2 linked regions of the Lytechinus pictus genome follow. The protein of the gene in region 1 purifies or fractionates together with the protein of each later gene. This does not show direct contact. Links are inferred from orthologs where the notes say so. Each region holds a gene or a part of one and is shown in the gene's direction. Other genes may lie near its edges.

Region 1 (17,304 bases):
TGATTGAACCATAAAATGTTGAAACATTGGTAATTCCACATTTTCAGAGAGGAACAAAACATTCTTTCACATGACGATGAGGGAAAATTTAGATGTTTCATATAATAAAATATAAGATAAATAGTAAGTTGATGATGTCATCAGTTCCCTAATTTGCACACAGCCCAGGGTGTGCACATAACAGTTTTGTGAAATTAAGCGGAATTTAAAATAAAATGTCATAACTTTTCTTATTTTACATCCGAATTTGATGAAATTTTCAGTGTTATGTTTGTTGGATTTTTCTCTTTTTATTCAAAACAACTTTTTGTTGGGATCGACTTGTCCTTTAACTACAGAAAGTTTAAAGAATAAGCCAGTTCGTAGTTCCATTCTGCGCATGATCAGAAGATTCTGCGCATGATCAGAGAAAGGTCATTTGTACTAAAGTGACATGGTGGTTTAAAATCTAATGAGATAAGCACCAAATTTGGTTCCTTGATTATTCATATATTCTTTTGAAGTGAGTTTTTCATTTACAATGTACATCCACAAAGAACAAAAATGTGTCCACGAACGACTGGTATTTCACAGTTTGCCAAGAACATTGTACAGCATGATATAATATGCATTCAAAGTAGAAATGCAACAAATACCTTCATGGAGTGTTTACTGGTGTACTATTCTAGTCACCTGGTCTATTCAATTTCTTCATCCTGCTATGTAAGGCATGCATACTTATTATCTTGCTTTGAAATCTGCCTATCACAATGAAATAAATGAAAGGTAATTTGACCAAAATTGTCCACGAAGTAACTACAAACTGCTCTATAGGTTTTATTAACTCATAAGAAGCAGGAGGAGATTAGTCTGCTCTGCAGGCAGACACCCTGATTAAAACCTTGATCAATAAGTGGGTCTCCACACAAGACTAGCATATACATGTACATGTATATAAAACTTTTTTTAGAGGGTCTTCAATATACAAGTCATTGTCAGCTGCCTTATCAGACCATTTAACCCAAGTGAAGAGTCTGCACAGCAGACTAGGAGGAGCTTGCTGTTCATGTAGACAATTCTCGCTACCCCAAATAGCGATTTCGCCAAGATCCGGGAAAATCCCTGTAACGTGCATTGCATTATGGGATAGCTTTTTCGGTATTACAACTTCCTGTTCGGAAGTCCAACGCACTGTTTTGCCATTTAGATCAACAGTGCCGTCATGCACAACAACACAACGTAGCTTTCGCTCGGAAAGTTCGTGATCACAACCCTCTCTTTCACTAACAGTTTTACAGCCTTTTCTGCTAAAGTCACTAATTCTGCCTGACGCTTTCCATTGCACGGTATTCATCTGTCAGTTAAGATTTTTTTAAGTTCCGAAACTGATTTTTATCCATTTTGTGGTCGACGAAAAATTGAACGAAATGAATGCTGAATATATTTAGTGTCTAGTTGAATACGATCGTGATGTCAGGCCGGTCGCTAAATGCAAAATTTTAAGATATTCATTATTTGTTTGATTTTTTTATAACCAAATAAAAACATGAATAAAAATTATTCTCACGTGAAATGTATTTTTTATTTTTATTTATAATTCAAATGGAATCAAAACTGACCAAATGTAATAAAAAGTATTATACTTTGTACATATTACGCTGATTGGCATCGATTTCAGCGTGGTGGAAAACTCAGTATCGCGAACCTCGCGCGAGCATGACTCTAAACCGGAAGTGGTGATGACGACCCGACGGAGTGAAAATTATCTCGTCTCGCGCATTATGAGATTTTTGTTCCTATTTGGGGTAGCGAGAATTAGAGCACCATTGTTATGTTCTTATTCTGACGTGCCTAGTGAGACAGTGATATCTGACGTGCCTAGTGAGACAGTGATATTTCAAAATGCCAATATAGCCACATTGTTTCACAATGCTCTTCCATTTTTGATGAAAGGAAAATAGACCACAGCACAGTTGAACTTCAGCACAGGTGCCAGTAAAGCGCAGAAGGTAACTAAGAGAAAACAAAAAAAAACAGGGGGGGATAATTACTCTGAAATTGATAACATGTAGGAATACATGTAAATGAGTGAACATTGTCGTGTGCTCATAGAAAACTGATTCAGTAGGAATTGAGTCAAATGTACAATAGTTCGTACCTGTACATGTACAAAAAAAAATCTCTTCTCCATCTTTTATGTAAATATTCTGACATGCTTACTTGAGAAAAAAGGGGAAATTGTTGGGCAGTATTGTAAATGTAAATCAGTTTGTGGTATTGACCGTATCTTATTTCCGCAATGCATTTTTTTGCTCAAAATTCATGGTACATGTACATTTGTACATGTATGAGCAAATTTTGGTCCAAGGAATGTCCTTGATCTATTTCCTGTGAGAAATATACAGGTACATGTATTTTTACTTCTTTAGAATACTTGTTCAGCTCTTAAGCAGCTGCCATCAACTTGTGATAGCCAAAGTCATATCAATTTATAATGCCTGAGACGTTTCATTGTCTTTTTCCTGTGTGTGATATCAACCGTGTAGGTAGCAGGATTTAAAGAGGTACTCCAGCTTGAAATAATAATAATGATATATGCAATATTTTCAGATCACTTAAATTAATACAATGTTTCTAAGCACTGCTTACCATTACCCTGATCTACGCTCGAGCATTCAAAGAATTTCTTCCTACCGGATACCCATTTTCTACACCTGGGTGGAGACTGGTGAATGGAAAATGTAGTTAAATGCCTTGCCAAAGGACACATTTGCTGCAGTGGGATTCAAACCCCAGACCTTGTGGTTCAGGAGACTTATCCACTGAGCCAAAACACCTGTTTTGAACAGATGAAGTATTAACATTGGACAAACAAAAAATACTGAGTTTCATCAGAATCGGACAAGGAATAACGTTTGCCTCAGGTGATGGTTCATGTAGGCTTCACTACACTTCACAACCGCTACCCTCTGCTACACCTACCCGAACTTTCGGGCAACAAATACTCGCTCTCAAAACCAGTGACAAACTGTGTCACTTTGGTAAAAAAGGCAACACGTCATGTAAAAAAAAGACAGGCGTACTCTACAGTGACTAAACTTACTATCGGACACAGACTCACTCCTTGCCCTTTCTTGTAAATGTCCGCAATTCGCGTTCGCCAGTGAATTAATACGTGTGGGAAACAGAACCGGCTTCAAATCACCGATTTTGAGATGTTTACAAGAAAGGGCAAGGAGTGAGTCTGTGTCCAATAGTAAGTTTAGTATGCTTAATGTTTTTTCTTTACATGTGTTGCCTTTCTTACCAAAAAGTGGGGATATTTAAGGTGATAAGGTGATAAAATGCTTAAATCCTGTTGGAATCGTGTACTTTAATAAGCAAAGCAAACAACTGATGCGTGCACTTAATATGCAAATAAGTGATCAGCACCCGTCATATCTGCATCCATTGACTTTGCACATAAAACAGTGATACGTTTGCTGATCGCGCAAATTGAAAATGCGGTCACTGTTATATTCCCTGAGGCGTTTTTGTACAGGGGAAATCTAAACTGCTCAAACCAAAATTACAAGCATGTAGCTCTTTTGTGATATTTTCTCTAATACTTGGTTCCTTGTGAAAATAAAGATACCAATATTAAGCACTTGTCTTGGTTGGCTTGGGACAAAGAGTGGAAATTAAAGTATACTGAAGTCAAATTTCTCAGAAATGAGTTTTGCACTGTCGTATCGCCATGTGACGGTTCGGATGATTACCAAAATTACCATTCCTGGGTCAAGTGTGGCGAATTGTAGATCAGTGTTTCTATGAAAATATAATAATCATTGCTTACAGCACTGGCAGAAATTATTTTAAGTAGGCATACATGTACAATCTTAGATTGCTTGTTGCCGCATATACAATCTTTGGATATATATGAATTGACCTGTTGAAGGAAATTTATTGCCAGCTTTTTAACAGGATAGATAATTTTGTTCAAGTCAAATGATTAGAAAAATTGTATGGACACATTCAAAGTACAGATGTGGAGCAGCGAGGTTGGTGTAGGACTGACCATGTATGGTTCATCTGGTGGCACCATGATTCTTACCTCAATTTAAGTCTTATTTCCTGTCAAGTTCTTCATATTATAATAACCAGACCTAAAACCCAAATCCTGCTCAATAGGTGGTTTCAAACCGCCTCGATCATAAGAATCCCCGTTAAATTACGAGAACTTTTTTAGGCTAAAAAATACCCATTAATTATTCCTGCATTCACACCGCTCTGAAACATACCCTTCGGGATAAGTTCCTGAAGTTACGAGCATGCGCTGTATGGTCTGATAAGCAGGCAAAGCGCGAGATTCAAAACCACTAGCTCAGCAGCCACCCACGGCGCCCGCGCATAACTACACGCTGGGCTAAAAGTTCCCATATTGCTTTCACATTGCCAAAATACCTGCGACCTTGGAAAAATCCCCGCGAAAGTTCTCGTAATTTTGCCATCTACCTACTATTTAGTGGGTATTTTCTTTCGGGGATATTACGTGTAATTTGCTTTCACATTGCCAATATTACCTGGTATTTTCTGATCGGGTAAATTTCCCGATCAGAAAATACCTGGAACTGACGAACTTCGAGGCGGTCTGAAACCACCTAATATCTGATTTTGCCACATTCAAGAGGAAAACAAATGAGAAATAGGAATCTTTGTTTTTCATTGTCCTATCTGCTTTGTTTTGATTTTAATCACTTTGGTCTGATGTTTTCTTTCTAATGTACAATAAACATTTAAGGACTGCTTGCCAAAATGATCAGAATTTTTAGAAAGATAAGTTTTTCCTCATTTGACAAATACTGTAAAACTACATTTGTAAAAAAAAGAAGATGTATATGTAGAACTTGCAATCATTGTCCATTCATGAATTAAGAAAAATTTACTAGGCCCTATAGTAAATGTAGGCCCTATAGATTAGAATGGAACAAAAACATATTAATGCTCCATTTTTACTAGTTGAAGATGAGAGGAAGGATGGAATGAAGGGATGAATTAAACTGGTTAAAAATATCCAAATAAATAATCATTTTTTTTTTCTATTTTTTGTTCTACACCATGTTTGACTTCTATGGTAATATTGTGTGCATGTGTTTACATGTATAAAAAAATCATGGATAATAAATAACATATTAGAGGAAATGAATAATGAATGCCTAATTGTTAAATTGAAAATGTGCTTTTCAAAATTGTTCTAAAGTTTGACTGCTTGGTTGCCAGGTCACATGCGTGCACAATATTAGGAGTGATATATGTACAGACTTTAATATAGTCTCCTCTACAATGATTGTTTTTTCTTTGAACAAAACTTTTGAAAGGAATATATCAAATATATGAAATAAATAATCAGTAGTATGTACATGGTTTAAAGTACTTAGTAGCTGCAACATAAAACCTCTTATTGCAAAGTCGCAAAATAAGCATGATATTGTTAGTGCTTCAAGGTTGGCGCCATGTTCTGGTATGGTTTGTTAGGGTTTGGTTTAGAGTTTGGCAATGTAAAGAGAATGAAGGTAGAAATGGGATTTCGAAGAACAGAATATATATTTTTCTTTTTTTTTTTAGCTAGATAGAATTATTATTGATTACAATGCCTGTCTTAGTGAAGCAACACTGTTGAAAGATGAGATAGGCAACCTCCAAAACTGTTATAACACTGGTAAAATCTATATTCCACTCATAGGAAATGTTTTTCCATAGTCCTTATTTTCTTAAAAGTGGTTTAAATAATTAGTCAATTACTAACTGTAAAAAGATAAATTATCAGCTCCTTATTGGTCTTGAAAGGCAACACTTTATAGTGATTTCAAACACTTTTACCAACATGAAAACAAATTGGCCTACATAGGATTACACTACTGTATGTACAAAGTATTTTATTGTTGTCAATATGCCACATGACATTACTCAGTCAGCAGCGAGCTTTAGTTTTTGGTTTTTTTTTCTTTCATCAGTAACCATGTACAGAAATATGAAAATTACCATCAAATTAAGATTTCATGTGTATTCAGCCCTCCAACTTTCAATTTGTTACACGACCTCTGCGTAGAGGGTGCTCTTAAATAGCATTGTCATCTCTAGCCTTTAAACAAGGCGCTGTGTCTGTTGTGATATTTATATCGCATACCTATACTGACTGGAAAAAACTACCGGTATTCACAAAAAGCCGAGTGAGTGCGAGGATTTGAGCTCAGTCACAGGGCCTTTAGGAACCCGATTTGGATTTCTTATGTTAATCATTGTTTCCGAATCGGAATCAAGAGGTAGCGGCCAATCAGCGAGCGTATTGCTCGCATCAATGAACCCCGTGTGACCCTGTGCCACAGAAGCGAACAAACCCATCCCATGATGTCATAGACACCGACGGTGCGGATTGGCGCATCGGCTGCATCAGCATGCTCATGAATAATTCATATATTCACGTCTTCACCAGATTCCAAAAGGCCTCGCGACTAAAGTCGCTCGCTCTCGCACTCACTCGGGTATCACCAGTTCTCTTCGACGTCCGCTATTCTAGTTTCATCCACTGCTTTGGCAAGGAATAGAGCCAAGTCACGAGGCCTTGTTAAAAGGCTATGTCATCTCAGGATTGTCCAGTTATTAAAAGCTCATTTAAAATTTCCCCCTTATTTTCCATTGCTGCAGAGAGTAGGCCCATACATGTACCTTTGCTACAGCGTACAATTCTCCGTTTTTTACAGGCCCAATGCATATGTTTGATGTATGGATGTACATGTATGTTCAAAAGTTACACAGAAGTTTTGTGGAGATGTAGCAATAGTGGTACATGTAGCCTACTCGACTTGTATGTGAAGCTCGTAGGTATAGTTTTCAAAGGAAAGTGATACTAGGGATCTCCTTTTACAAGGTACATACATCGGTCCCAATTATACCCACTCCCCTTCCCCTTTTGTATCTGTTTCATGTTCATATCATATGCACATATGTATACATGGAGGCCTGCTTTAATACAGATTGTTGCGGTCATAAACCCCTGCATCACAAGACAGACTTGAACTCATGTTATGGAGCCATGGCCCTCTCCACACAAGTACCTGAATTTTTTAATCCCTTATCAGATTTCAGGCTCTTTTAAGTACTGAGTAAACACAGACCATATTTCCTGTTCAGTGTAATATTCCTATTAGGAAAAAAATCCTGCCCTCCCAAATGTAAACTCATTCAGAATATTACTTGATGGTTTTATGACTGCATTGCTGTCTTCTTACCCCACATATCCAAAGACAAGCTGTCTAGCCAAGCATTGATATAGAAGGATTAATGATTGAAATATCAATGTTTGTGAGATTAAAGACCTTGTTCGTCATATTGAGAATTGAGAATTGAGAATTGATTTTATTCTGTCCATTTAGGAAAATATTCTTGTTGGCATTTACATATACACAGAAATATACAAAATCAAAGCGTAAAGATGAATTCTACAGAATATATATACATCACACATATTTGAAGAAAAATACATAATACAAAATAATTTCAATCAAATCGGTAACATTTTACTCTTAATCATCGTTATTATTAATATAATTATCATTATTATTATTATCAATCTTATTATTATCATTATGATTATTATTATTAATTGTATTATTATTATTATTATTATTGTTATTGTCATTGTTATTATCATTATTATTATTATTATTATTATTATTATTATTATTATTACTATTATTATTATTATTAATATTGTTTCTATTATTACAATTATCAATAATCAATCATTACTATTATCATTATCATTATTACAGGATATACAGAAAAAAAAAACATACAAAGAAATACAACAAACTACATACAGTCATACAAATAAGGGGAAAATACATAATATAAAATAATTTCACTCAAAATCGGTACAACTTTGCTCTTAATTATTGTTATTGTTATTTATTTTCAATATCATTATTATCATTGTCATTATCATTATTATTAATATTATTATTACTATTATCATTAATATAATTTTCCTATCATTATTAATTATTATTATTATTATTATTATTATTGTTATTATTATTATTATTAATTATCATTATCATCATTATCATTCATCATTATTATCATAATCATCATTATAGATAGACAATTGCTCATTCAATGCTTTCATTTCAGTCGATAGTATCAGGGTAATATTAGTAAATTGTATACATGTGTGAGAATATAGTAGGTGACTGACGAAGTGGCAAGATTACAGGCTTGATTGAAGTTGTTCGTTGTATTTTCGAATGGAGAGCGGCACAAAAGAATGAAGGAAACGCGATGTTCGAGCCCTCATTGATCTATACCGCCTTCCAGATCGCATTTGAATATAACATGAGTGGAGGGGGTGGTCCTTATTTTGTATGATCTGTGAGGCCTGTTTCAAGATTGCTTGAACGCATTCATTGGTCACATTTGCCACTTCTCCAGTAATCTTCCCAGCACAATTGGCTATTTTCTGCAATTTCTTCATGTCTTCTTGTCTGCACCCTCCGAACCAGACAACACAACTGAAAAGCATAACACTTTCTATCACTGATTTGTAGAAAAGCTTTAACAAAATTCTATCAACATTGAAAGAATTCATTTTCCGAAGAAAGTATAATCGTTGTTGGGCCTTTGTATATAGAGACTGACACTGATCCTTCCATGAAATTTCACTATCAACTATAGTACCCAAATACTTAAAGTTGTTAACATTTTCTATAACCTCTCCTTTGAACATAATATAGAAAGTCATATTCTCATTAAGATATAAAAAAAGGAGTATTGCTTTCAAGGTATGTCACTTTTATTGTGTGAGACACACTAACCTCTATAGTCGACCCATTCTCATTACAAGAATAACTGTATTCTGCTTCAAATACATGTACATGTACTGTACCTCTAGAGTTGACCCCATTCTCATTACAAGATTAACTGTATTCTGCTTCAAACATATACATGTAGGCCTACTGTATACATGTACATCTATGCTATCTGTTCTAAAATGCTCCATGTAGAAGCCACGGAAGTTGAACTGTCTTATTGCTATTGACAATTTTTTATGTCTACCGGTACTTATTAAGTTTTAATAGATACTGTAATACTTGACATACTTGATTGTTCTTTATGCAAGCCATAGCCTTGATAATCTGATTTGGGATTTTCCGCTCACATAATGAGCCTTTTCACCACTCTCTGTGGACCATTCAAACAAAGAGTTCAGAGCTCGAAAGCATCGCATTCAACATTCATTGGCTTTCACATCCTTTCATTTCTTAAACTTATCAACATTTTAAAAATATGATTGCTGCTTTTAAATGAATGCTCTATCTTGGTACATGTAACTAGGAAGCAGATTCTCAAATAATTATACCAGTAACTGTTTGCGGACATCCCATATCATTGTTGATTTGATTACATACACGTTTAAAATGAAATAAGAAATTACGACTTCATGGTTTTGTGAAGCATCTCATCGAATGCATGACTACCGTTTTTGCCGGATGTAGCAACAGCATAGGCCTATTGGCAGACTGGATTCAGGGAAGTGTAATTCATCCATTAATGGGTTAAAAAGAATTACTTGATTTTACAGGAAATATCAGAAATCAAAGTGAATCAGAATATATCATTGTCTATTCGGCCTTCAAAGTAAAACCTTGGACAATTACTTATGTTTGCTAACTGTTGCCAAGGAGGTACTATTGCCTTGTTCTCACTTTACGTTTCATTGATGGTATTGGTTTGGCCTGCATATGTCCTACTTTCACTGAAACCTACTTAAAATATAGGCATTGTAATGGCTGCTTTGGGAGTACGATTCATGGGTCATTGTCAGGGTCATAAATAAAAGAAAGGGACAGACGGCTATGTTAAAGGGAAAGTGAGAAACTCTTGTGGGAAATGACAATTATCATATTTTAGAAAGAATATCATCAAAGTTCTGAGGTACTTGTACTCTGCAGAGGATTGCTTCTCAGATGCCCGATATTTAGGGTGTGACCTAAAACAGCTGACATTTTGGGGCCATAACATCTGTGTGTAGTCCCATTCATGTATTTCTGTGTGCCATTCATGTTTGAATCTCAGCAGATTTCAGTCATTTTCTCTGATTCCCAAATCTTGCAGTATGCATGAATCCTTGGGTGCATACATATGTACATTTAGTCCAATCACTTTGAGACAGCTGTTTCCATGGTTCAATCTCATGACCAGAAATGATGCTCATTTTACATCGGTTGAGAGCAAGAGCGATCACTCATTGATGTTATATTTCCTTTTTAAGTTATTGTAAGTGCTTTGGGAGCAGAATTATTCTTTGTTATTCTATAATGTACAGCACTTTGGGCATATTACTATGGAAAGATGCTGTAATTGTCAAAATGTACATGTATGACATTGTATGTCTTTATACAGTAGTTCTAAGCCTGCTTTCGGTTTGTACAGGCATTGTGTACTACATGTAGTTTGTAAACACTTCAAATTGACCATCAGTTATTTTGTACTGAGCGGTATGGTGTGCAACATTTGGCATGTCTGAAACTGAATTGATGAAAAATTGCTTGTACCATGGAGCTATGTGTTTTATAGCTCCATGCTTGTACCTTCTCCGCAGTAATTGTGTTATATGTTTGCATTCTTGAATGTACACCATGAAGATGCTGCTTCATGTATAACTGTAGTGCTAACCTTATTGTTCTTGTGTCCTACATGTAGAACCTAGTTTGGTGCCAGTTACAGTATGAATTTAATTTCAAGAAAATAATGATGCAAAAGCAGATATATTATTGTCATTGAATTTTATTCTCTTTTAATTCTTAGAATTTAGAATCAATGTGTAAATGATCAATTTTTTAGTTCACTGCTTTTAATGGCAGCAGGACAATATGAGTGTGGACTTTTCTGAGAGGCTTTAATACAAAGTCCTAACATTTTAAATTTACTCTTGTCTCTGTGAACAGGAGGGGGGGGGGGTGGATTGACCTCACACTTGTTGCAATCACCCTGATCTTCCTTCCACTTTGCATGAATTTGTGCATCCTCCATCCACAACCTAACATTCTTGCTCTCTCCATTTTGCTCCTTCGATGACATTTTGGTCTTTCCCTCCACAAACTGCCAAACTCATACCCCATTACCCTTTTTAAGATATGCTCGTCAAACTTGAAAACCAGAAATCTGAACAAACACTACTTCAATAAATGTTTTATTGTATTTATTGAATACATATCAATATATATTTTTTCTCTTGCATTCTTGTTTTCTTTTCTGCAGGGTTACCGGATCCCTTTGCCAAGGTAGTGGTTGATGGATCAGGGCAGTGCCATTCTACAGACTACTGCAAAGGAACTCTCGACCCAAAATGGAACCAGCATTATGATTTGTGAGTAATTCAAGCATGACTGACATTTTCCATCTTTTCCCTTTTATATTATGGAGTGCTTTGAGAGGCATGGTTGTTTCTAGAGGCTCAAGGGGACCGCAACGCGACTATGCCCGAGGGCATGGTCTGGCAGATGCGGTACCTGCGAGCCGAAAGAAACAACCGTGTCTCGAATATAAAAGCAGTCCATATATATTTTATGAACCAAATTAAATGTTAGATCTAGCCTAGGGCCTAGTATATAAAAAAATTCTAGGTCTAGATCTTAAACAAGTTAGGCCTAAAAAGCCCTAGATCTAGCCTTTCTAGGCCCCAGGCTAACGTTAGGCCTAGATCTAGGCCCTAACTTAGCCCTTCAGCTGACGTTAGGTCTCGAAGTCGAATATCAAAGCAGTCCATACCGTTAGTACTAGGTCTAGATATTTTAGGAACCAAATTAGGGTCTGAATAGATCTAGACGAGATCTAGTCCAATGTTAGCAGTCTTTAATCTCCATTAGAGTCTAAATCTAACATTAGATCTCGACTATGTCAGATCGAAATTAAACGGAACATTAGCCTAGGCCATCTAGATCTCGAGTCTACTCTTAACTTCTAAGCTAAAGTTAGATCTAACAACATTACCGGTACCTAACGCATCGTTGTTTGGCATACGGGCAATTCCATGGAAAATGTTCACTTTCGAGAAAAAATGAAGTTTCAGATTTCACTTAAGCAGTCAAATTTTCTTAAAAAGTAATCTATAAAGTTTCAATTTCCAATAGAAAAATCACAATATTGATAAAATTTTGTGTTTTTTTCCATCATCAAAAAAATAAAATAATAAATTGCAAAATATAAAAAATGTGGCTATTTTTAAACAATTCATCTTTCCTGTCTCTACTAAAAGCAAATAAGGTCCCACAGGTCTCTTTTAACTTTTGTATCGATGATTAATGTTTAAATCAACAGAAAATCATTGTTATATTTCATGCCATTCATCAATTTTAGAGAAATCGATCTTCAGATTAATGTGATTTCTTTACCATTATCAGTGTCATGTCCGTTACGTTTTTCACTTAAAGTTTTCACAGCTTACAGGAAATTTGTCTGAAGGTACTGCAGATTCAGATTCTATGTTAGAATTAAACCCCCTACCATGTGTAGCAATCATTTTCCCTGACCACTTCTCATTTTCATAAAAATGGCGTAACGGACATGACACCTAATATATGACAAAAGGCAGCATTCACAAAAACAAAATATTAGGCTCAGTGTCACAGACTGTGGTCAGTCTCAATTGCTTGAGGATAGCTGGATGTAATAACTCCTAGAATCTGCATGTCATTCTAGCTATTTTTAGAAGTTGGTAAATGATGAAAGTTCAGCTCTTGTTCTGGTATATTTTTCTGAGAATTAACGGTATGCCACATAATATTAGGATAAGATGCAGCTAAATCTGGCAACATACTCAGATCACAATCTGCATCATTTGTGTTTGAACAATAATTGATTATCTTAGGTGTTTGCACTGACAGTTTGGAGCATGATAAAACTCCAACTTGTGAATTCATGAGATCTTTGATGACATTGCTTCAAAGTATCTGACTTTCACCAACCCTCAACTTCTTCAGTGATGGCACTGGCTCACATTTAAAACAAGTTTGTAAATATTCAGATATCTGTGTTACATGATGTAGCTCTATGAATCCATGAATCTACAGTGGCACTTCTTCATATCACAAAGCAAAGAGGCTGTGGAAGGAATGTGGCGCGATCAATAAATTATGTCATCATAGTATTTTGGTCAGCCATAATCATGATTTGAATGATGTATCTTCGTTTGTACACAAGCAGCGCAGACAATACAATGAAATTAGATACAGCCACATTTGTCAGCAAGCAAGATCGTAAGATTTAGTACATCCAAGATTTGATGAAAGGATGATTATACCAAGGATCTTTATTTTGAATGAAAAAAATCTCAGAAGCGATTTACAAACATTCCGATTACCTTATAACTCGTACATAATCGATAATGAAAGACTGGTTTCCAGGTACTGCTATTAAAATTTAAAATACTTTTTAATATCATTTTTTTAATCTTGAAATTGACATTAATACTAGTACATATTCTTTATCATAAAATACATTTTATAATACAGGTGTATGTTCATCTTGGATTTAATCAGGTCTGGTACATTTTGTTTTCTTCTCACAAAAAATCTGATTTGCTCTTCTCAGTGTGCCTATGGTACTATTAAAGCATTGTATTCTATATAAAATTATCATGTGGGCTATAGCTATTAAATTAATAATACCTGCCAAAAGTGCCAATAATATCTACATTTTTTTCTTAAGAATGTTAGTAAAGGTACTTTGCTGTTACATAATTACATTCATTATTCATATTTCTTTCATTTTGCAACTAAGAAGTGCAGATGAAGTTCACTTCGGAAGGGTGTCATGTCCGTTACGCTAGTGTATATTGTCAAATAGTAAGCCATGAATAAAAAATAATCTTTACTATCAACTTTTTCTCTTTTAATTAGATGTGGCGGATGGTAGTAACTGGAAAATAATCATTAACTGTTGTTAACTGGCGTAAAAGAAATTTTTCCAAATATTTTTTTGTTTTATAAATATTGTACGCAAAGCCCCCCTCTCAAATTGCAAAATAATAGGAGATATTACAGATTACCAGTTATGATGTGTGTCTCTAACCTCTAGCCTTAACAAGTAACCAATAAGACTTGTACCATATCTTGTAATAAAATAATTATATTCGCTTACAAAAAGTGGACGAAACTGTCATGTCCGTTACGCTTCATGTGTCATGTCCGTTACGCTACATTTTGAGCTATGAATACAGAATGCACTGTAAAACTTTTGTTAAACACCATTTTATGGATAGAGCATGATCTTAAGGTTAAATTAACACCAGCGTCAGGTGCATGCAATCTAAGAATTCACAGGAATTTTGATAAGCAATAGGAGGTAAAAATGCTTCGTCCATTTCGTGTCATGTCCGTTACGCTGACAAAGAGTGCAATTTCTCCGCAACTGTTCAACGAAACGATTTGAAATTTCATGTGTATGTAACTGATACTTAAATGTGTCTGATAAGCTCAGTAGCAATTATCAAAAGACTGCTAATTCTACTGTATAAACCTTTGAATTACAAAAATTTGTCTGAACGTCATGTCCGTTACGCTGGAATTGCCCATACCTAACGTAACGAGTAATGTTATAAGAAAGTGCAGTGACCGTCTTGATCTTTTCACCTGACTCACCTTTTGTGAGCATGCATTTGAACGAACAACTGCAACAAGACTTGATGATTGATACATCCGTTATGTCCTTGTTTAAGTTAGTCTTCTTTTCAATAATGCCATATATTTTAACACGAATTAACAAGCAAAAGTCTAGGATCGGCATCGTTCCATCGATATGTCATATCCGTTGCGTGCACTTGTGCAATAAGCGCGTAAATGCGCGAATTGTCTAAAACTTTCGATCAAATCGCGCGGATATTTATGGTATCCGCAATCACCGCACAAAGCAACATTTTGCATGCAATCAAATGGGGATCTCTGCCAAATTTTGCTATGCCCGTCGTTAAGGGGCGGGTCAGGGGGCAACAGGCAGAAATCTTGTTAACTATGCCTGTTGCCCTTGGTTACCACCTTAGTTTGTTGTTTTGCAGGCATGGTCGTTTACATGACCTCAATTTTGACCAATAAGAGGAACAGATTTTTTGACATTCTTAAAGAGAGGTTCATAATCAAAGATAACCCCCTCCCAGCCCACCCCCCAAAATGTCATATGTTATGATGTATTTGTGGACTATTAGACTTCTTTTTATTCCCGTATCGGGCAAAGAATTAGTAAATTATGCAAGTTAAGGCATATAGGCCACGTCATTTTCAGAGGCTCATTTGATTCATTTTGGGAAATTTTGCAATTTACACTTGGTGTCTCCAAGAGTGAAGCAGGTTTGGCGCTTTGTATTACAGCATACTGTTGATTATCTCCAGTGTGCACTTCTTATTTTGGAAGTTCAATAGTAGTACCGGTTCTACTGTACCTATGTGCTGCTCTCCCAAGGCTAAGCTGGCCTTGCTTCTGGCTGACTGAATTTTGCTGGAGAAGTCTTTTCTATGAGCAGCTAACCTCTAAATTGCCAGATTGGATGATCAGGCCCCATACAAGCATAATGAATTATATGATGGATATTTATGATTGATTTCAGATTAAATTCATTCCTGCGATCAATTATGAAGCTTTTTTTGTTACAGTACAGGTGTGAAAATACAAGCGGGTAGCACAAGAATTCTTTCAAACAATGGGAAGGGACTGATTTCATAGTATGGAATGGAGGAAAAAGATTAAGTTTTAGATTGACTGTATTGATTTGAGTCAAGCAATATGCTGGTTGCAATGATAGAAAATACTTGCAGATATTGAAGTTCAACAAACCTAAATGTAAATCAATGTCTCGAGAATGGCAAGCAGAGATAAGACAGCGTCTGAATGCCATTATTTTGAAAATTGAAAATACTTTTTATATTATGGTACCCACGTCATTCCATGATTTAAGAGTGCAATTTTGCCTTGCAAGCCCTCTTGCAAGCGAAATCTGTGGCAAGTCAACGCACTACGTTGACTTCCCTTGACTTTTCGTTCTCGCTCATGGAAGGGAGAAAATGTTTAGCTATATTTGGGATGGAAGATAATTTCATGTCTTGGGAAGAAAACATGATTTACATAGATGTCTGGCAGAGGAGGCAGGGCTCAGCAAACACTCTCCTCTTTCTCTGCATCCATTAATTCTCCGTCAATTTGTCTGCCTGATTATCTTCCCTCTTCCCCTCAAAAACAAGACTGGCATGGTTTAAGACATTTGACTGGCGGCTGGGAGTGCTTCCTAGCGTGCCAGTCAGTTGTCTATGCCTGTTTTATCTATCATTCACCATCCTGGCACTCTATCGCTTCTCGCTTTTAGACCCTGGGTCGGTCTTGGAATGAAGCTTCCAGAGTTGCCTGTGTTGATTCTTCAAGGCTCCTTGCCCAGTCCCAGACAGGCTTCTTTCAGTTAGCTACTCTATGAAATCTTGGCAAGAATTAGATTTGAGAAACACTGGATTTGTCTAATCATGCAAGAGCTCTTGTCTCCTACTGGTTTTTAATATGCTTTGTTCTTTATGGCTGCTTTCTAATGCTGAGAAAAGTTTAAATTCTGAATATTGAATTGACCCTTTAAAGGGAGATGAAGCTTGTTAGAATTACACAATGACACATAGCAAAAAGTGATTTGCCACCCCCCTCCCCCCAAAAAAGACACCCTCATAGGTTTGAAGGGTTTAATGAAACAACCCAATGTTGTATGTTATTGATAGAATAGTAGAATAATTATTTTGAGTAAAAAATCAACATTCTTTATGGCATAATCAGGTTAATACTCAGTGATGTCCTTTTGTTTTACCTTACAAATGTACAATTGTACATCTCTCCGTACCAAAGGGGATTTTTGTAGGGGGGGCTATTAATTTGTTATGCAGGTCTATTTCTCATTTACTTCCAATGTTTAAGAATCAAACTATTTAAAGTGATCAAGGCAATGCCTTTAATTTCAGAATATGCTGGAGCAATGTATTTCTTAATAACTTCATCACTTTTTGCCTAACCGCGTAATGGAACAACCTCTTTTGAATATTGAGTTCAGAGACAGGAGGAGAACACGCTGTCTGTCTCCCTCGTCTGTTGAATTTTTAAATTGCAATTATGGCATTGTGTTGTAAGAGAGCAATACACACCCATGTTTAACACCCTGAAATTCACTCTGTCTTGCGCCCGCCTAATTAGGCAGCCAATTTAAACGGGGATGTACATTTCTCAAAGTAAACACAATTTTGATAGTGTTGGGTGTGAAGCTATTTG
Region 2 (16,861 bases), on another chromosome or scaffold:
ACCTACTTGATGAGAAGAAAAAATAGTTCAATGGTTCAAAACAGCAGCATAACTCGGATTTCAACAGCAAATGTAACATGGACGAAGATGGTGAATAAAGTAAATGAAGAGAATGTCTGGATCTTGTCTATCTGTACAGGTCTACATGTATGTGTCTTTAATAAAATAACTGTCTCTAGTCTCTACTTTGCCTTCCTGACCTACATCAAAATTGTTGCTACAGGAACATAACACTATTTAAATGAACCAAAAGCTAACCAATGAAATTAGAGAAAATAGAAGAACCCAACTGAAATGTAGTAATCCAATTCATAATATAAACCAATTAGGAATAAGATGAAGGTCACGATAAAAGATGTCTGGGTGATTATGAATATGTAATAATGAGAAGAGAAACTAAGGAGTCGGGTGAGGGATAGAATGATGGGGAAACCTGAATAGAAAAGGAATGAAGATGACAAAAAAAATAATCAGAGGAAAGGAATTCAGTGTGGAGGAGGATGAATGGAAACTGAATATCATTTAACTCATATACATGTAACCTAAGTTCAGACTGTAAGGGCAGAAAGGAACAAATGTGAAACAGCTTAAAGTATACATCAGAAGAATCAAAAGTATTTTATAATGACTTTATGTGGTCATCATTGTAAAGGGGAAGTATTACTAATCAGATATATAACTTCACTTTTCAAAATAGTGATCAGAGTTTGCAGAAATCAGCTCTCAAAAATGATTTATTTTCATGCCATATTTCTGCCTTCCACCGGTCCTCTTGCGAGCTCCAGCTGAGTGACGTCACACAATGAGCAGTGAGCAGCTGAGCTGACAGCAGCCCATTGGAGACGATCTTTCCAATCAGCGTTTTTTGCTCTTAGAATTGTTTATTGCTCTTAATATTGGTCTTGTTATATAGATAAAAGTTTGAATTTACTGAACAGTGAAAAAAAGTGCACATTTAACGTATTTTGGTAACCGATATTTAGCTTAGAATTTTTTTTTTTTCAAGAAATATATGTGAATAAACAAAGCATATTTTCACGTAGAAATCACACTTGCGTCACGTTAATATTATAATCAATATAAAGCATAGACATTCTTCTTTATGACTGAACAAAAATTATGAAATTTCATTAAGTAGCAAAGTCAGGAACCACAAAAAAAACACGGCAATATCCATCGCGAAATGACTGAAATTGCAGTTGAATTGCCGAAGCATTATTAGGCAACAGCGGCGAGCGGACTTTATTTCATATATCTTAAAAATGCCTTTCCGGTAGGGCAATGGTCTGTGGCCAAATGCGTTGGCCATTGTTTTGTCATGTGCGAGGACCCTGGTTCGAAACTCGGATTTTTTTTTCTGGGCATTTTTTTTTTATTCCTTCCCCGTCCCTACCCATCTTTTTTTCTCTTTTTATTTTCTTGTGAAATTCTATTCAGACCTGTATTTATCAAATCTTGCTTCTTAATTGCTGCTTTTGATTTTCAAGTTCTTGATTAGATTATTTCTACTCTTATTTGGGATGGGAGGGGTAGAGTTAAAAGTCAAGTCCACATCAACTAAAAATTATTTGAATAGAGTAATTTCCCTTGTTGTTTTTACTCAAAACAGTCATATACACAAAACAATGATATGCAAATTAGAGTTGTCACTCACATCACATTCGTTTCTATTTTTTGTGGCATTTTGTTTTTTATTCTTTGCAGATTTGACGATAGGAAACTCTTCATCTGATCACAATAGGTTATATTTACGGAACTGTTAAAATAGTAATTATATAAATTTGAATCAAAGTTTTTATGAAATTTCCTGCAATATCTTGTTATTTTTCTTTAAATTCAAATGAATTTTTGATTGCGTGGACTTCTCCTTTACTCTTAATGTAGGGAATGCATAGCAAAATTTATCCAGAAACAAAATTGTCTTAGAATATGCAAATCAGTAATTGGACACATGTTCACTTTTCTTTCATCCAGGCCACTTCCTCACACCCACCAGGCTTTCAGTCTTATAACAAAAATGATGAACCATCACACAACAGCACACAACATTCACAGTGCTTCACAATAAATATTTCACTTCTGTTCATACATGCAATAAATATTGTGGAAAACAAACAAAAGGCATACCCATATTCAAATACTGTTTAAAAAGACAAATATATTATACCTTTCGAGAAAAATCAGCACGTTAAATATCTGATAACAAAACATAATTATGGGGCACTGCAAGAAACTTATGTTCAATTGCAAATCAAGCGTAAGTCTTAAATTCAAATTCAAGCGTAATAAGGTCGAGTTGCAATCGCAATTCAACTACATGTTTAATCAAAGGACTTACCCTTGATTTGGGACGTGTGATTGAGTATAACATTTCTCGCAAAATGCCCTAGTAACATTAAAATTGTTCTTTCGTTTTAAATTGTGTGTTATTATTTTTGACAAGCTGTATTCCTGTCCAAGTCAAATTTCTTAGTTCTCTCCAAAACTGTGCTCAAAATTGTTTCCAAGATTGATAAAGAAAATTTTTCTTTTGTATCATTATCAGTCCACAACTTGCAAACCGTAGGTCCTGGAAAGAGTGAAGAAAAAAATGGCTATATCCAAATCATAGTAAAAGGACATGATGGAATCTCCCAGATTGAGGTAGCAAGCAGAGACCAGAAGTCACCAGAGTCAGCAAGTGTGCAGATCTGTGTGTAGAAGAGAGAAAAAAAGAAATAGTTTAAATAATCAAATCAAAGTATGAATTTAATTATCGTGATGATTGATGACGTGCGGTGGCATGTAATTCCCGGTCAACAACAAATGATAGTAGGTTAAGACACCTGAAAAGTTCCACTCAGAACACTGGTGCTCTACCTCAAGTGATGTTTGTGTAGGCCCCACTCCACTTCACTACTGCTACACTACCGTACATGTACGCCACACCTACCCGGGTAGGTGTGTAGCGTAGTGTAGGCTGTAGCAGTAGTGAAGTGGAGACTACACGAACATCACTTGAGGTACGGTGCTCTCTGAGTTTTTTTGTCATTACAAAGATTGCATTTATCTTCATTGTTGAAGGCATTACGCATGCATATATGCAGCAACACTCTAATCAGAAAGAAACACCAGACTCTAATTTTGGCCCACCCAAGGGTTCATTACATGCCGCCGCGCACAGAAAATTCAAGCCATAGAAGTCGTGTTGTGGACCCAAGAAGTGAGATCCCAGCACGCGCGACCCACTAGTTAGAAATCCACTGCCAAACGCGGTTCGTGGTGCGAGGTTAGTATACTAATACTAACCTCGCAATACGTGTGAGTGATTTTGGCCAGGAATCAGGGTAATCACTGCTGAAAATTTGTCTGGCTTCATGACATCGGCATCATGGTGATATAATTCTGTGTATAATAAAAAGATTTTCAGCCATGGTCCATACCAGTGCTCCTAAATAATTTAATCGCCTGCCTGAGTCCTGACCAGTTTTAGAAATCTGAAGAAAAAATCTGCTGGAATTGTGCAAAAACATTATTTCTAAAATAAAGACTTTTTAATTTTAATAGTATACGCCAAAATGCATGATTCTAAACTTATATCAGATCTGTATCTGTCATCTGACCTGAATGCATCGTCAGAACAAGTACAGTTTCCAAACATGCTTACCTTGACTTTTGACTGGATCAAACAGCGTAACCTGCAACATGCATCGGGAGCAAGTGAATGGGACCGTGCAGCTTGGAGTTTTTCAATAGTTAGTAGAGCAACACAACGAAGACTGTCGAGTGGACAAAATCGATCTTTCCAGTTCACAATTCAATAAAAACCGGGCAAAATAACACAGTTCTGGTTCCCTTATAGTCTGAAGTTGTCGAAAACAGAATTCGGATATCACAATACATGAAGAAAACAGTAAATTCGAAGAAAAATAAAGACCAGGAAGGTGAATCAGCTATCAGTGTACTGCTGGCTTGCACAGAGCTAGAGAGCGGCTGAGTGAGTCGATCATCATGTGACGTCATTATTCTCGACTGTATTTGATCGCGTTATTGTCTGTCTGGGGGCGGCTGGGGGGCTGAGAAGGGTCTCTTATAATTTCATTTCTTGCATTTCCACGACATCAATAAGACTTTTTAGTGACATATTTGTGTATAAAAAGACAAGACCTTTCCATTCATATATAATTTGTCTATAATCATCACTTTCATGAATTTTCTTTGGATGTATACTTTAAGAAGAAAACATAAAAGGAAATAAACAAATAAGAAAATGCTGAAATAACTTTCCTGCACATGTATGATAAACCTTGTCCAAAGATTAAAAAAGTTCTGAGAATGGGTCATTGTATATTTGTTTTACATCCCTTCCACTCATACCATTTTACAGCGAAATGATTTTTAATAAGTCGATATAGAACAATCGTTGAGAAGTTGAGAAAATAATAAGTATTGCCATATGGATCGTCTCTTAAGCGAGCGCACCTGGTTAGTGCAGCTCGCCGAAAGTTCCCGTGGCATGCAGTGGAGAGTACCGTTTGGCTGAGCAGCGCTCTGCTCGCATCGCGCCGCACAGCTCGCGAATCGCGAGTTTGGGGGGGGGGGTCAAAAAACCTATAGTTCACTTATTCCCTAGGGAAAAAATGGACTATGCAAGGAAAATGAACTATTTCATGGCAAACGTTTTTCGTAGTAAAACTATTCTTTTTCTCCTTGTGTACACTCTACAACAATCTTAAGTAAGGGATATAATATCAACTAAAAAAACTTAAAGTTATGATTTTCAGTTTTCATATTGACAGTATGAAAATCCCGATTGCATAAACCTGCATAATCGTTATAAAAGTATTGGAAAAAAAGAAGAATTAATTTTCAGGTCTCCAGTTGAAGGTCAAAGCTCATTCTAAAGGGGGGGTCAATAAACTGATATACAATGTACAGTGCGTCCCAGAAAAAGGAAACTGGGATTTCCTAGTCTTTTTCATTCAAAGGCAAATGAATTATTTGCCTTTTTATTTCATTGAAATAAAAAGGCAAATAAAAAAGGGCAAATAGTGTATGAGTGTAATGAATTATTTGCCTTTTTATTTCACTTACATAACCATGTATCATCCAATTATTCCTCTTTAATTTGATACCTAATTTGAGATGAACACTTCATGCATTAATGAGCAATACGAGTTTGAAATTATAATGTCAAAATCAGGTTGCACAGAAAAATTTGACAAGATTGGTTTGTGTTACGACGACCGTGCATCGTTATAAAAGTACTTGTACTTTCATTTTCTGCAAAAATCTAAAAATCGATATTTTGACCAAAATTGACTGATACGACGGTTCGGATGACCGCCGACAAATTGTTTGCATATGTATATCGGGACATTCGACACACTGCCAAATATGGCACTCCTCAATATCCGACATCTTGGCATGCTGTATTACGTGCTCACGCTTTTCAAAGTCTAGGCATACATGTAGGTCTATGTAGGCGTGTGGAGCTGAGAATCGTGCCCCATATCGAGAGAGGATAGAGGTTCTGTTGGTATTTAATTCTTATTATTGATCACTGATTCCTATATGAATATGATTTTTTTAGCTCATCCGGCCCGAAGGGCAAGTTGAGCTTATGCCGTGGCTTCCGTCGTCCATCCATAAATTTCAAAATGCTTCTTCTTCGCCATGTCGAGTCCGATTTCAATTCTGTTTGCTTTATATGATAGCACTAGGTGGGGGATTCAAAACTTCTACACAGAATTTTGAAACTCATTAAATATGCTAATTTATGCGCATTTTTCAAAATTCACAAAAAATGCTTCTTCTTTATTTGTTGACTGATTTTGAATTTTTTGCTTCCATCTGGTAGAGCTTCATGAGGTTCACCAAATTTCTAGACAGAATTCTGAAATTTTGAGTAGAACAATTTTTATGCTAATTTATGCAAAATTGATTTATGCATATTTTTAAAAATTCACATAATAAAATGCTTGTTCTTCTGAATTTGTTGACCGATTTTGATTTTTATTCTTCCAACTGGTAGAGCTTCATGAGGTTCACCAAACTTCTACACAGAATTTTGAAATTTTGAGTAGAAAATTATTTATGCTAATTCATGCGAAAATTCATAGATCACAGAAAATGCCTCTTTATTTGTTGACTGAATTTCAAAATGCTTCTTCTTCGTCATTTCAAGTCTGTAATTCTGTTTGCTTTTTATGATAGCATTTAACATTGGGGGATTCAAAACTTCTTCACAGAATTTTGAAACTCATTAAATATATGCTAATTTATATCATTTTTCAAAATTCACAAAAAATGCTTCTTCTTTATTTGTTGACCGATTTTGATTTTTTTGCTTCCATCTGATAGAGCTTTATGAGGTTCACCAAAATTCTACACAAAATTTTGAAATTTTGAGTAGAACAATTTCTATGCTAATTTATGCGAAATTAATTTATGCATATTTTAAAAAATTCACATGAAATGCTTCTTCTTCTGAATTTGTTGACCGATTTTGATTTTTTTCTTCCATCTGGTAGAGCGTCATGAGGTTCACCAAACTTCTACACAGAATTTTGAACTTTTGACTAGAAAATTTTTTAAGCTCATTTATGCATTACTTTAAAAATTCATATAAAATGCTTCTTCTTTATTTGTTGACCAATTTTGATTTTATTTTCCTTCCATCTGGTAGAGCTGCATGGGGAACACCAAACTTGTACACAAAATTTTGAAATTTTGTCTAGAAAATTATTAATGCTAATTTATGCAAAATTTATTCATAAATCACAAATGATTTTTCCCCTTCATTTGTTGATCAGTTTCAATTTTGTTTGCTTTATATGATAGCTCTAGGTGGTGATACAAAATTTCAACACAGAATTTTGAAACTCATTAATATTCTAATTTATTCAATATATTTTCAAAACTCACAAAAAATACTTAATTATTTGTTGATTGATTTTGATTATTTTTGTTCCATCTGAGAGCTACATGAGGTTCATCAAGGTTCTACACAAGAGTTAAGAAATTTTGACTATGCTTATTTATATGAAGTTTATTCATAGATCACAAAAAATGCTTCTATGTCATTTTTTATCAATTTCAATTCTATATCCTCAATTTAGGTCACCAATATCATGCACTACAGTGTCAACTGGGCTGAAATTCAAATTGTGTTAAATTTCGTTGTCATATCCCCACTTTCCTTTTCTTATGTAATACATGAAATCATAATTGTTTCATTTTTTCATACATGTGTAAATTAATGATGTGTCTCCATTATGATGAAATAAGTTGGGGCAATAAATAACTAATAATAATCAGTTGTCAATCCAATTGTTTTTGTTCTTGGTAGAAAAAATTTGAATAAACCTAATTTCAATTATAATAAAATACATAAGAACAAGTGGGGATATGACATCATCAGCCCACCTAATGAATATTCATGAAGACATGCCTAAAACTGTTTCACCGGAATAATGCAAATCTTTAAAATTCAATAACTTTGTTATTCGTTATCAAATTTTGATCAAATTTTCAGCATTTTGCTCTGTGAATTTTACTCTATTTATTGAGATATAAACATCTCCAGCCTGGACCATCCCTTTTAGCCTAAATTGCTATGTCAGGAAAAGTTATTATACATAATCTGAATACACATAAAATTTGAAAGCTGTGCCAAAGTGTGAAATGAAATATGGCAAAAACTAGTCCAAAGCTGTAGATTTTATAATCAATTCAAGCTTGCAAGAAGATATACCATGTGATCAAAAAATTCTAGCAGGAAATCAAATGTGTAATCTGAAAAGCAAAAATATTACCATGTTTCTCTGTGTACAAACCCATGGAATCACAATGCTTTTAACACATCATGATGTCACAGATAAACACGATAAACCCTTTTTTTTAAAGCCCAAAGGTACTCAGCGGAGAAGTAATGAAAATATATAAACTCTTCATTGCTGTGTTTTACAGTTTATAAGCTTTCGATTGATTGACCTTTCAATTTCACTTTAGGTCCAATCGGGGTCTGGAAGCAATGTTTTCAAAGTGAAAAATTTACTTCTAGTTTACAGGACATTACATTGTTGGGCATGATCATTAATTGGGCTCCATTTCTTTTATTCCTTCTTTCTTACAAATATGCAGGAACTCCTTGGACAGATGCCTTAGTTCATGGTGTAGCAGAAAATACACCAAATATCATTTTGTAGTTGCAGAAGTGGCACATTTCAGACCGGTTTCGAGGTGACCATTAGTGTCATCTACCCCACTGTCAAGCTGGCGTACCCAATGGGAACAATGGCGGGGGCCCCAACGAGTGCCGATGCCTGTCTTAGTATAGTACACAGCCTCATGTGCCATCGGCAGGGAGGAGAATCAGAATCTTTTGCAAAGAGGGCCATTGAAAGTTTGGTGAAAAAACTGAAAGAGAAGAGAGATGAGCTGGACAGCCTTATCACAGCCATTACCACAAACGGTGCACATCCCAGTAAATGTGTCACGATACAAAGGACATTGGATGGCAGGTTACAGGTAATTTAACTCCATTTTACTAGCTAGCAACAAGCGAAAAAGTTGGATTTGTCTTTGTAAAAGACTCACCCGACTTTTAAAAAGGGGGAAGAGGTGCGTGTTATTCACCGGCAAATATGGTACCTCAAATTCCATCAAAAGCTAATATGCTTTCGACAAAGTTTATTAATTCCTTTTAATTAAAGAATCATTAACTTTACACCAAGCCCGTGTCTTATTTTCTTGTTTTGATGATCATGGGAAAAAATAAAGATTTGTACATTTTGGGAGCACAATTTTGATATATTTCTTTCATTTATTTATTTTTCTTTTTAAAGAATTAGCAAAACACCATATTGAAAATGTTCCTCAATTGGGCAGGGCCTGTTGATTGTTTTAAATTGATGGAAACCTATATTATTCAGGACACTTTTCTAGTTTTTGTGACGAGGAGAAAGGTTTGGAATGGGGCCTGACATACTGGTTGTCAAACAGTCATTTGGAATGGAATTAGTGTTGCAATGTTAACTTTGTATGAACTGAGTTAAACCTTACAAACAATGGGAAGGAGAGGGGTGCTTTTTCCCCTGTCCTAATTGCAGGCACGTGATGGTTCTTATTTCTGAGAACCTTTGTATTATAGATGGCGTGAGGTGAAAATGTTTTCTTATTACCTCAATGTTTATCATCAAGGGAGGGTATTTCAAAGGTAACTGGTTTGCATTTCCCCCCAGGAAGGAACAGTTCTCCTTTCCAGGTTGTATTAGAAAGTGAAACCTGTCTCGGAGAGAGCTCACCTGGATATGGCATATTAGACGGTTTCCTCTCAGGAGTGTGCATGTCACACACTGCACTGCCAATATGTTTCCCTTTCTATCAACAAACTAACCTATTTCTTACCAACTCTCTTTTGCCCCCCTTGCCAGCCAGGTCATTTAAAACGAAAATAATTGGAAAATGTGAGGTTTTTCTTGACAAGGTAATAGTTCTGGTAAATAAGTAATAAATACTAATGTTCGTACTTTTGAAAGGTTTCAAAGAGGAAATCTTAAAACATACAAAAAATTATATTGATACAACAAGAAAAGATCAACAATCACCAAATGTTTGTATTTGAATGTTAGGACTAACCGGGTGTGATGGGGGGGGGGGGGGGTAGCCAGACAGGAACCCTTTTTTGTGGGGGGGCTGAGAAAATATTTTTCTCTGCCTGTCAGAAAAATCTGAATCAATTAACCTACTCTTTGATGTGACAAAGCTTAGCTTTCCTCAAGTTGGGAAGAGATTTCTGTGCCACCTCTTTGATGAAATCCAGGACACACCATGACCAAAAGCTTTAGGATACAGAAAGTTACCAGAACAAAAAATCATTTTTTATTTTATTCTAGAGCAATTAAACAGTCATTCTTAAATAAAAACATTGTACCATCTCATAGTGATTACTTTAAAATCAATAATTTGAATGGAATACATTTACTAGTCCATTACATGATTTACATCAGGTGTATCGTCACTTGCAGTGGATAGTGCTAACAAATCACCAGCGGTGATCATTACATGTAACATGTTGTTGAGTTGTTATCACTGCATGCGATTGAATTCAACTTGTTTTCTCTCTTTGTCAGAAGAATTGTGAATTTGTGAGGTAGAATACATCATTGTGCGCGATGCATATTATCCATAGTGATGTATTATTTGTCACATTACCGAGGTTTCGTTTCTCTGCGACTGCTACGTAATCCTAGTTCACTGGAAGTGGTGACACCGCTCGTTCAGTATCACGTTCGTACAATGATGAGAACAGTTTCGATTTCAGTCGACGTACCCGTACCAGGCCACAGCATAGACTGGCGTGATAGCGAGCGGGCCAAGAGCCGATGCTCAGCCGGAGGATTAGGCATAGCATCACGCCACGAACCAGTTGGGTGACTTGAGGGTGCAGCATTTGCACTCTTGCTCTTCGCATGCTTAAAAACGTTCTTACGTATGTGAGAACATGTACCAATATGAATCCCACAGTGTAGTTAACAATTTAAAATGATATCAAGAGAATGGATCGTTCAATTTCCACAGTTTTATGAAAATACATTGAAAATATGCATTTTGAGGAGAGATGCATGAATAGCGGATCTCGACGAAGTTAATCCCTGCAACCCTGGTAGAGTCATGCTGCCATGCCTGCTGAGCGCTGCATGTCGCAAGATGAGCTCTGGAAGCTGGGTGCGCAAACGTGGCACAAAAGCCCCAAAACACAGTTGTTTGGATATAGAACATGAATTGTACCTTCTGGATATGTACACTCCCCTCCAAAAGTTTGGGAACACCTGCCTTCAGTGTGTGTTTTTCGAACTTTGGTAGACTTTACTGAAGTTAAGCCTCATAGTACAGCTGTATTTTTGTTTTAAAGTGAAGGCTATACACAAGTGTACATTTTATCATTGATTCAAACAAATTCAAAGCTCTTAAGGGACGTGCAGCTGCCAAAGAGGGCAGGCTACCAGTCAAGATGGCATTCTCTAAAAAATGCCTACTTCTTTTAACATTGTTCTGTTTGGGGTTCTTTTCTGAAATTCTTCCCAATATTTTGTGAATGTTACAGCAGATGTCCTCAGAATTTGTTGCTCAGTATTGTTCATAAGACAGTTAATTTATGGAAATCTGCATCTTTATCCTGGAAAACATCTGAACTTGACAAATGCCTAATCCTTGTTTAAAGAAAATACATGGAAGTGGAGTAGACATCAGTGCAATTTGAAATTCATGAATTCAAAAGTTATTCAGAGTTTTTTTACACTTATTCCAGTGCACCTTCACTCATTTTGCCTATTCGGTTTTCTTAGTCAGAAGTCAGTCACAAAATTAAAATGGCTATGACAAGACAGCTTTCTTTGGAAACATGTCAGTCAATTGTAGTTTTGAGGAAAGAAGGCTACTCCATGCAAGAAATAGCCAGGAAACTCAAGATCAGTATCCATGCGGTTCACTACAGCCTGAAACGCAAAGAAGCCACTGGGTCTAATGGGAACAGGAGACGAAGTGGTAGGCCAAAAACAACATCTCCTGCTGAAGATAAATACATTCGGGTGAGCAGTCTGCGCAACCGTTGTCTGACTTGCCCACAAATTACAGCTGGCCTCAACAACACCCGTGAGATGCCTGTATGTTCTTCAACTGTTAGAAGACGTCTCTGTGGAGCAGGGCTGATGGGCTATGTGGCTTCAAGGAAACCACTCCTCAAAGAAAAGAACCGGAAGAAAAGGCTTGCTTGGGCTAGGAAGCATAAAGACTGGTCTTTGGAGCAGTGGCAGAAGGTTCTTTGGTCTGACGAATCAAAGTTCGAGGTGTTTGGCAGCAAGCAACGTACCTATGTGAGACGGCGAAAGGGAGAAAAGATGCTACCCCAGTGCATCAAGCCAACTGTGAAACATGGTGGTGGTAATGTCATGGTTTGGGGTTGCTTTGGTGCACAAAAGGTAGGCAGCTTGCACAGAGTAGAGGGTATCTTCAACCAGCACGGCTATCATTCAATCCTACAGCGGAAGGCCATCCCTTCAGGGAAACGCCTGATCAGAGAAGAATTCGTTTTCCAGCAGGACAATGACCCAAAACACATGTCAAGACTATGCAAAGACTACTTGAAGAAAAAGGAAGAGAAGCAAGTCCTGGAAATCATGGATTGGCCACCCTAGTCCCCAGATCTCAATCCCATCGAGTTTTCCATCAAATTTTCCATATCAGTGAAACACTGAGTATTGTTTGATTTTATTTTTGTGTCTGACTTCTGACTAGGAAAAGGAAAAATGAATGAAGTTGCACATGTTTTAGTGTAAAAGCTCTGAATAAAAGCAATAACTGCATGTAATAAAAGAAGTTAGCATTTTGAAAGAATGCCATCTTGACTGGTAGCCAGACATTTAAGAGAGTATAAATTTGTTTGAATCAATAACAAAATGTACACTGCTGTATAATCTTCACTTTAAAACAAAAATTCAACTATGCTATGAGCCTCAATATCAATAAAGTCTACCAAGTATATAAAAGCACACACTGAATGCAGGTGTTCCCAAACTTTTGGAGGGGAGTGTAGATGCTGAAAACATGACACGAGATGTGATGGGAAAGCTGGTAACAAGCAGTATCTTCCTTCACCAGCCCTGCTGAATCACTAAAATTTGAATGTTTCATTCATTTTTGTTAAGCTAGGATGACGTCACCTAGCGCTCGTTCGAGCACTAAGACACCGAACGTCAAAACCCTCAATTAAGAGTCACAGATTTGGGCAGTGAATGAGAGGGCTCGTCACAGATTATTTCGCGCATGCGCAGAGCTTCCAAAACTCCTTAATCTTGCACATCCACATGGCCCGTCACAGAAAACGAAAGGTCTCTAATGCTAATAGTAGTGCACTGTGATATAAGCTCCACTTACACGTAGGTATCACTAGCGAGTGGTGATCAGTAACATCATCATTCAGACATTAGCATGATGTCTTATCTATAGCACAGACCTAGTCGTGAGTGGTGGTTGATCACGGATGGTTATCAATCACCACTTGCGATAATGAAGATGTGTGATCTATATGTACAATGTATCACAACTGGTGATTGATGTAACATGACCCATACATGAAGCCATCGGCAACAATGTCTGAAAAGTAGACCATGGTTAAAGATTTTAACAAATTTTGAATTTTGGTCATGACTGAAATTGAAAAAAAAAAAAAATCAGATTTGACCTATTTTTTTAGATCTGGAGGTTTTCGCAATTTTGAGAAAAGTATGTCAGAATTTGTAAAAGGTTACATGCTGGCACATGACTTGGCTGTTGGCATTGTTTTTCTTCCTCGCAGGTTGTTCTCATAATGAATTGGAGTGAATTATGTGGTCTCGGTAGATAATGAGTCATCATGGGTATTGTGTGGGTATCAAGTAGCTTGTATGCTGAGCTGAATCTTGGCATGCTTCCCCAAAATTATATCATATACGAAGAAAATCAATGATTCCTGAGGGATCATCAGATGGTTTTAGCAAGTAGTTAGCCCCGGGCATGTTGAAAAGATTTAATCCTTACATCTCATTTTGATCATGCAGTATGAGTGACTACATGTAGAAATGTGGATAGAATATTGCACTTATTTACAGAAGTGTACGTTCTCACTAATTCTTGCACTTTGTAAATTATCTAATTCATGGATAATATAATGTTCAGTAATACATGTAATGTACTTTTTCACGTACATTTAGCTGATATCTAAGGTTTTGACTTCTAGGAGTTATGATAACAGCTATTCCTCAAATACATGTATATGGGATATCAAGTTCAAGAGTTATTTCCTGGAAATACTGTATAGTAGCTAGTAGAGTGTTTCACATGTAATTGCATTAAATTGTAATATCAATTGAGCTTAAGTGGTAGTGTATGAATATGTAATTAACACACCCTTAAGGCAGTTATGAATCATACAGTGTTTGATTTGGAAATCATTTTATGTGGCAGTGATCATCCATCATAACGTGTCCAGAATCTAGTTGTAGAGTACATACATGTACATGTGTATTATCACAAAACATTCTTTAATGACATGTTTTTTTTCTTCATGCTGAACTATCAAATAGTGCAATAAATTCAGTGCGATCATGCACCTGTATTTCCTCCCCCCCCCCCATATTTTAAGTTATGACTTTCCCCCTTGCCCTGATATCCAGTATAATAGCTTTGTGCCATATATCCCTTGTGGGATGAGGGATGAAGTTGAAAACAAAAAGTGTACAGTGAACGGGATGATATTGTAATGATACATGTACCATGAAGATGCTGGTAAGCTCGAGCAAGAAAATTGAGAAAACTTGCACTCAAATTGTGTTTCCAGAGTTTAGTTTTATTCATTTTAAGGGTTGAAGTTGATATCATGAGAGAAGTTTGATATGATGAAATATATAAGAACTTAGCCAGTTAAAGGCTTTTCATGATTTGTTTATTTAACACATTGTATATTCCTTTATTGATTAGAAACTATATAATATTTCTTTGTTGATGATTTTAGGTTGCCGGGAGGAAAGGTTTTCCACATGTGATTTATGCCAGGATATGGAGGTGGCCTGATTTGCACAAAAATGAACTGAAACACTTGAAATTCTGTCAGTATGCATTTGATCTCAAATGTGACAGTGTGTGTGTAAATGCATACCACTATGAAAGAATTGTGTCGCCTGGTATTGGTGAGTGTACATGTATTTTGTGATTGATTGTAATTTTATGTTTTGGAAATGTGAGCGTTATGAAAGTAGAGGCAAAATTATTGCAATTGAAAAAGTTAAAGACCCAGATCGGACCCCAAAATAAAATTGACAAATCCTATACCAATTGAAAGCTAATGAACTACTTAATACAGAAATGCAAGCTTTATGCATTTTCACTGCTATTTTGCTTAAGAATAGCTCCAATTATCGGGCTTCGAAAATAGACTTTCTTGCTGTAAAGGGTTTCACAGGGCTTTCACAGGCCTTGAGACCGTGACGTCAGGTTGTGTTAGAAGCGGTGTAATTCCATATAGTTGTACACAGAAAAAGAGGGTGAACTTCCCCCCTTCCAGATTATGCATTTTATTTTCTTCACTTCTATCACATAGAGATATCAAAAATATCTTTTTCTGCAAGCTTGAATTGATGAAATCTACGGCTTTTGACTAGTTTTCACCATATTTTATTTCCTGCTTATTTGGCACAGCTTTCAAATTATATGCATTCAGATTATGTGTATTAAACAAGTTTTTCTGAAATAGCAATTTAGGCCCAATAAGAGCTAAGAAAGTAAATCACACAAAATCTAGTGAAGAGTTGTAGGTTTCCATCCATTTGGTCACTGAATAATTGTCTTTATGATTTTTTCTAAAAAATCGAATTCAGACTCTAAAAAGCAGAAAAATAACCCCCTTTGTCAGTGTACAAGCCTATGGAATGACAATGCTTCTAACACAACATGACGTCATGGTCTTGAGCCCGGAGAAAGGCAATGGAAAGCATTTTGTCCAAATCCCCCGCGAAACCCGTTAATTTTAGTTTTTCTTAAGCAAAATACTCAGCTGTTAAGCAGTGAATATGCACAAAACTTGCACTGTTGTACTATGTAGCTTATATATTTCCCATTTGTCAATTGCACTTTAAGCTCCGGTCTGGGTCTTTAAAATAAAAGTAGTTTACTTAAGAAAGATCAAAACACAGAGAGTAGCCTTAAAAAATAACATGTGGGCATACTTAAATATTCTATTCTTGGTAGCCTCTAACCTTTAAAATATATTAATATATAACATCCATTCACAATATTCTATGGCATGCAAGAAAGAGGCTCAGTTTCCAAAAGTTTACATGCTCATTTTACTATCTTCATCAGAAATCATGTAGACACTTCTATACAGTGTGCATGTACATGTAGCTTGGAGGCTTATAATCCCCCCAAACAAAAAAGTATAGGTAACATATTTTCAAAAGTTTGTTCTAAAAATAGCCTAGTGTTGGAAGTAATTTCATTGCAAATATTGTATCAAAAGCACATTTAAAACATTGAAAACATAGACCTTTTATATATTCTTAAATTGTAAAATGCATTATTGACTGTCAGCATGTACACATACACCTTCTTTTTCCTCCTTGTTTTTTTTTTCTCCCTAATATAATTGTCTTCCTTTTCTTTCCTTATAGATCTGACTGGGCTTACATTACAACACACAGGTGAGAGAACCAATGTACATACCTGTGTGTGTTACATTGCTTATCATTTAATTTTATATACATGTATTTATTCATGTTTCATGCATTTGTATATTTACTTCTACAGTCTATTGAAATGAATCTCTTGTGGAGCATCATTGCAGAAAGAGTTGCGTTTAAACACAAATCAGAATATCAATACATGTAGCAAGTCTCAAATGCATGCTTTTGATTGGTTGAAAATCAAGTTGTGCATGATTCTTAGAATTATGTTTGATTGCAACTCTTTCTACAATGGGCCCCTGGCCTGATGACCTCCAAATGGGCCATTCCGGTTAAGGAGAGAAAACGGCAAGGTCAAAATCGAGCCCCTCCCCCAAAATATATATCAACATAAGAAATTTGTAGTGAGTGAATTATTATTCACCAGTCCTGTAGAGATAGCTGAAATGTACTGAAAATTTGGACAAACAGAATATATACTTAAACAAACTGGAATAAAACAAAATTAAAGACAAACGTGATGGAGTTGGATTACCATAAAGAAGTCTGATGTGTATGTTTGTTGATAATTCCAACTAAATTGTTGACATGTTTTACGTTTCAGAAATATTGCCGTTTGAAAAACTAGTATTGAGACGTTACCATGTCCGTCCCCTGATATT

The links.
Region 2: the proteins of E3 ubiquitin-protein ligase SMURF2-like (region 1) and mothers against decapentaplegic homolog 4-like purify together in Homo sapiens (affinity purification with western blotting; 3 studies listed by BioGRID). This does not show direct contact. The link is inferred for Lytechinus pictus from reciprocal best matches to the Homo sapiens genes SMURF2 and SMAD4.

The regions. Positions count from the first base shown.
Region 1 is NC_087254.1:29,863,396-29,880,699, reverse strand, and holds the start of E3 ubiquitin-protein ligase SMURF2-like, read left to right. Parts: upstream 1-10,360; coding exon 10,361-10,373; intron 10,374-11,277; coding exon 11,278-11,386; intron 11,387-17,304. UniProt on the Homo sapiens protein: E3 ubiquitin-protein ligase which accepts ubiquitin from an E2 ubiquitin-conjugating enzyme in the form of a thioester and then directly transfers the ubiquitin to targeted substrates.
Region 2 is NC_087247.1:25,798,244-25,815,104, forward strand, and holds the start of mothers against decapentaplegic homolog 4-like, read left to right. Parts: upstream 1-8,122; 5' UTR 8,123-8,268; coding exon 8,269-8,511; intron 8,512-14,533; coding exon 14,534-14,708; intron 14,709-16,187; coding exon 16,188-16,217; intron 16,218-16,861. UniProt on the Homo sapiens protein: In muscle physiology, plays a central role in the balance between atrophy and hypertrophy. When recruited by MSTN, promotes atrophy response via phosphorylated SMAD2/4.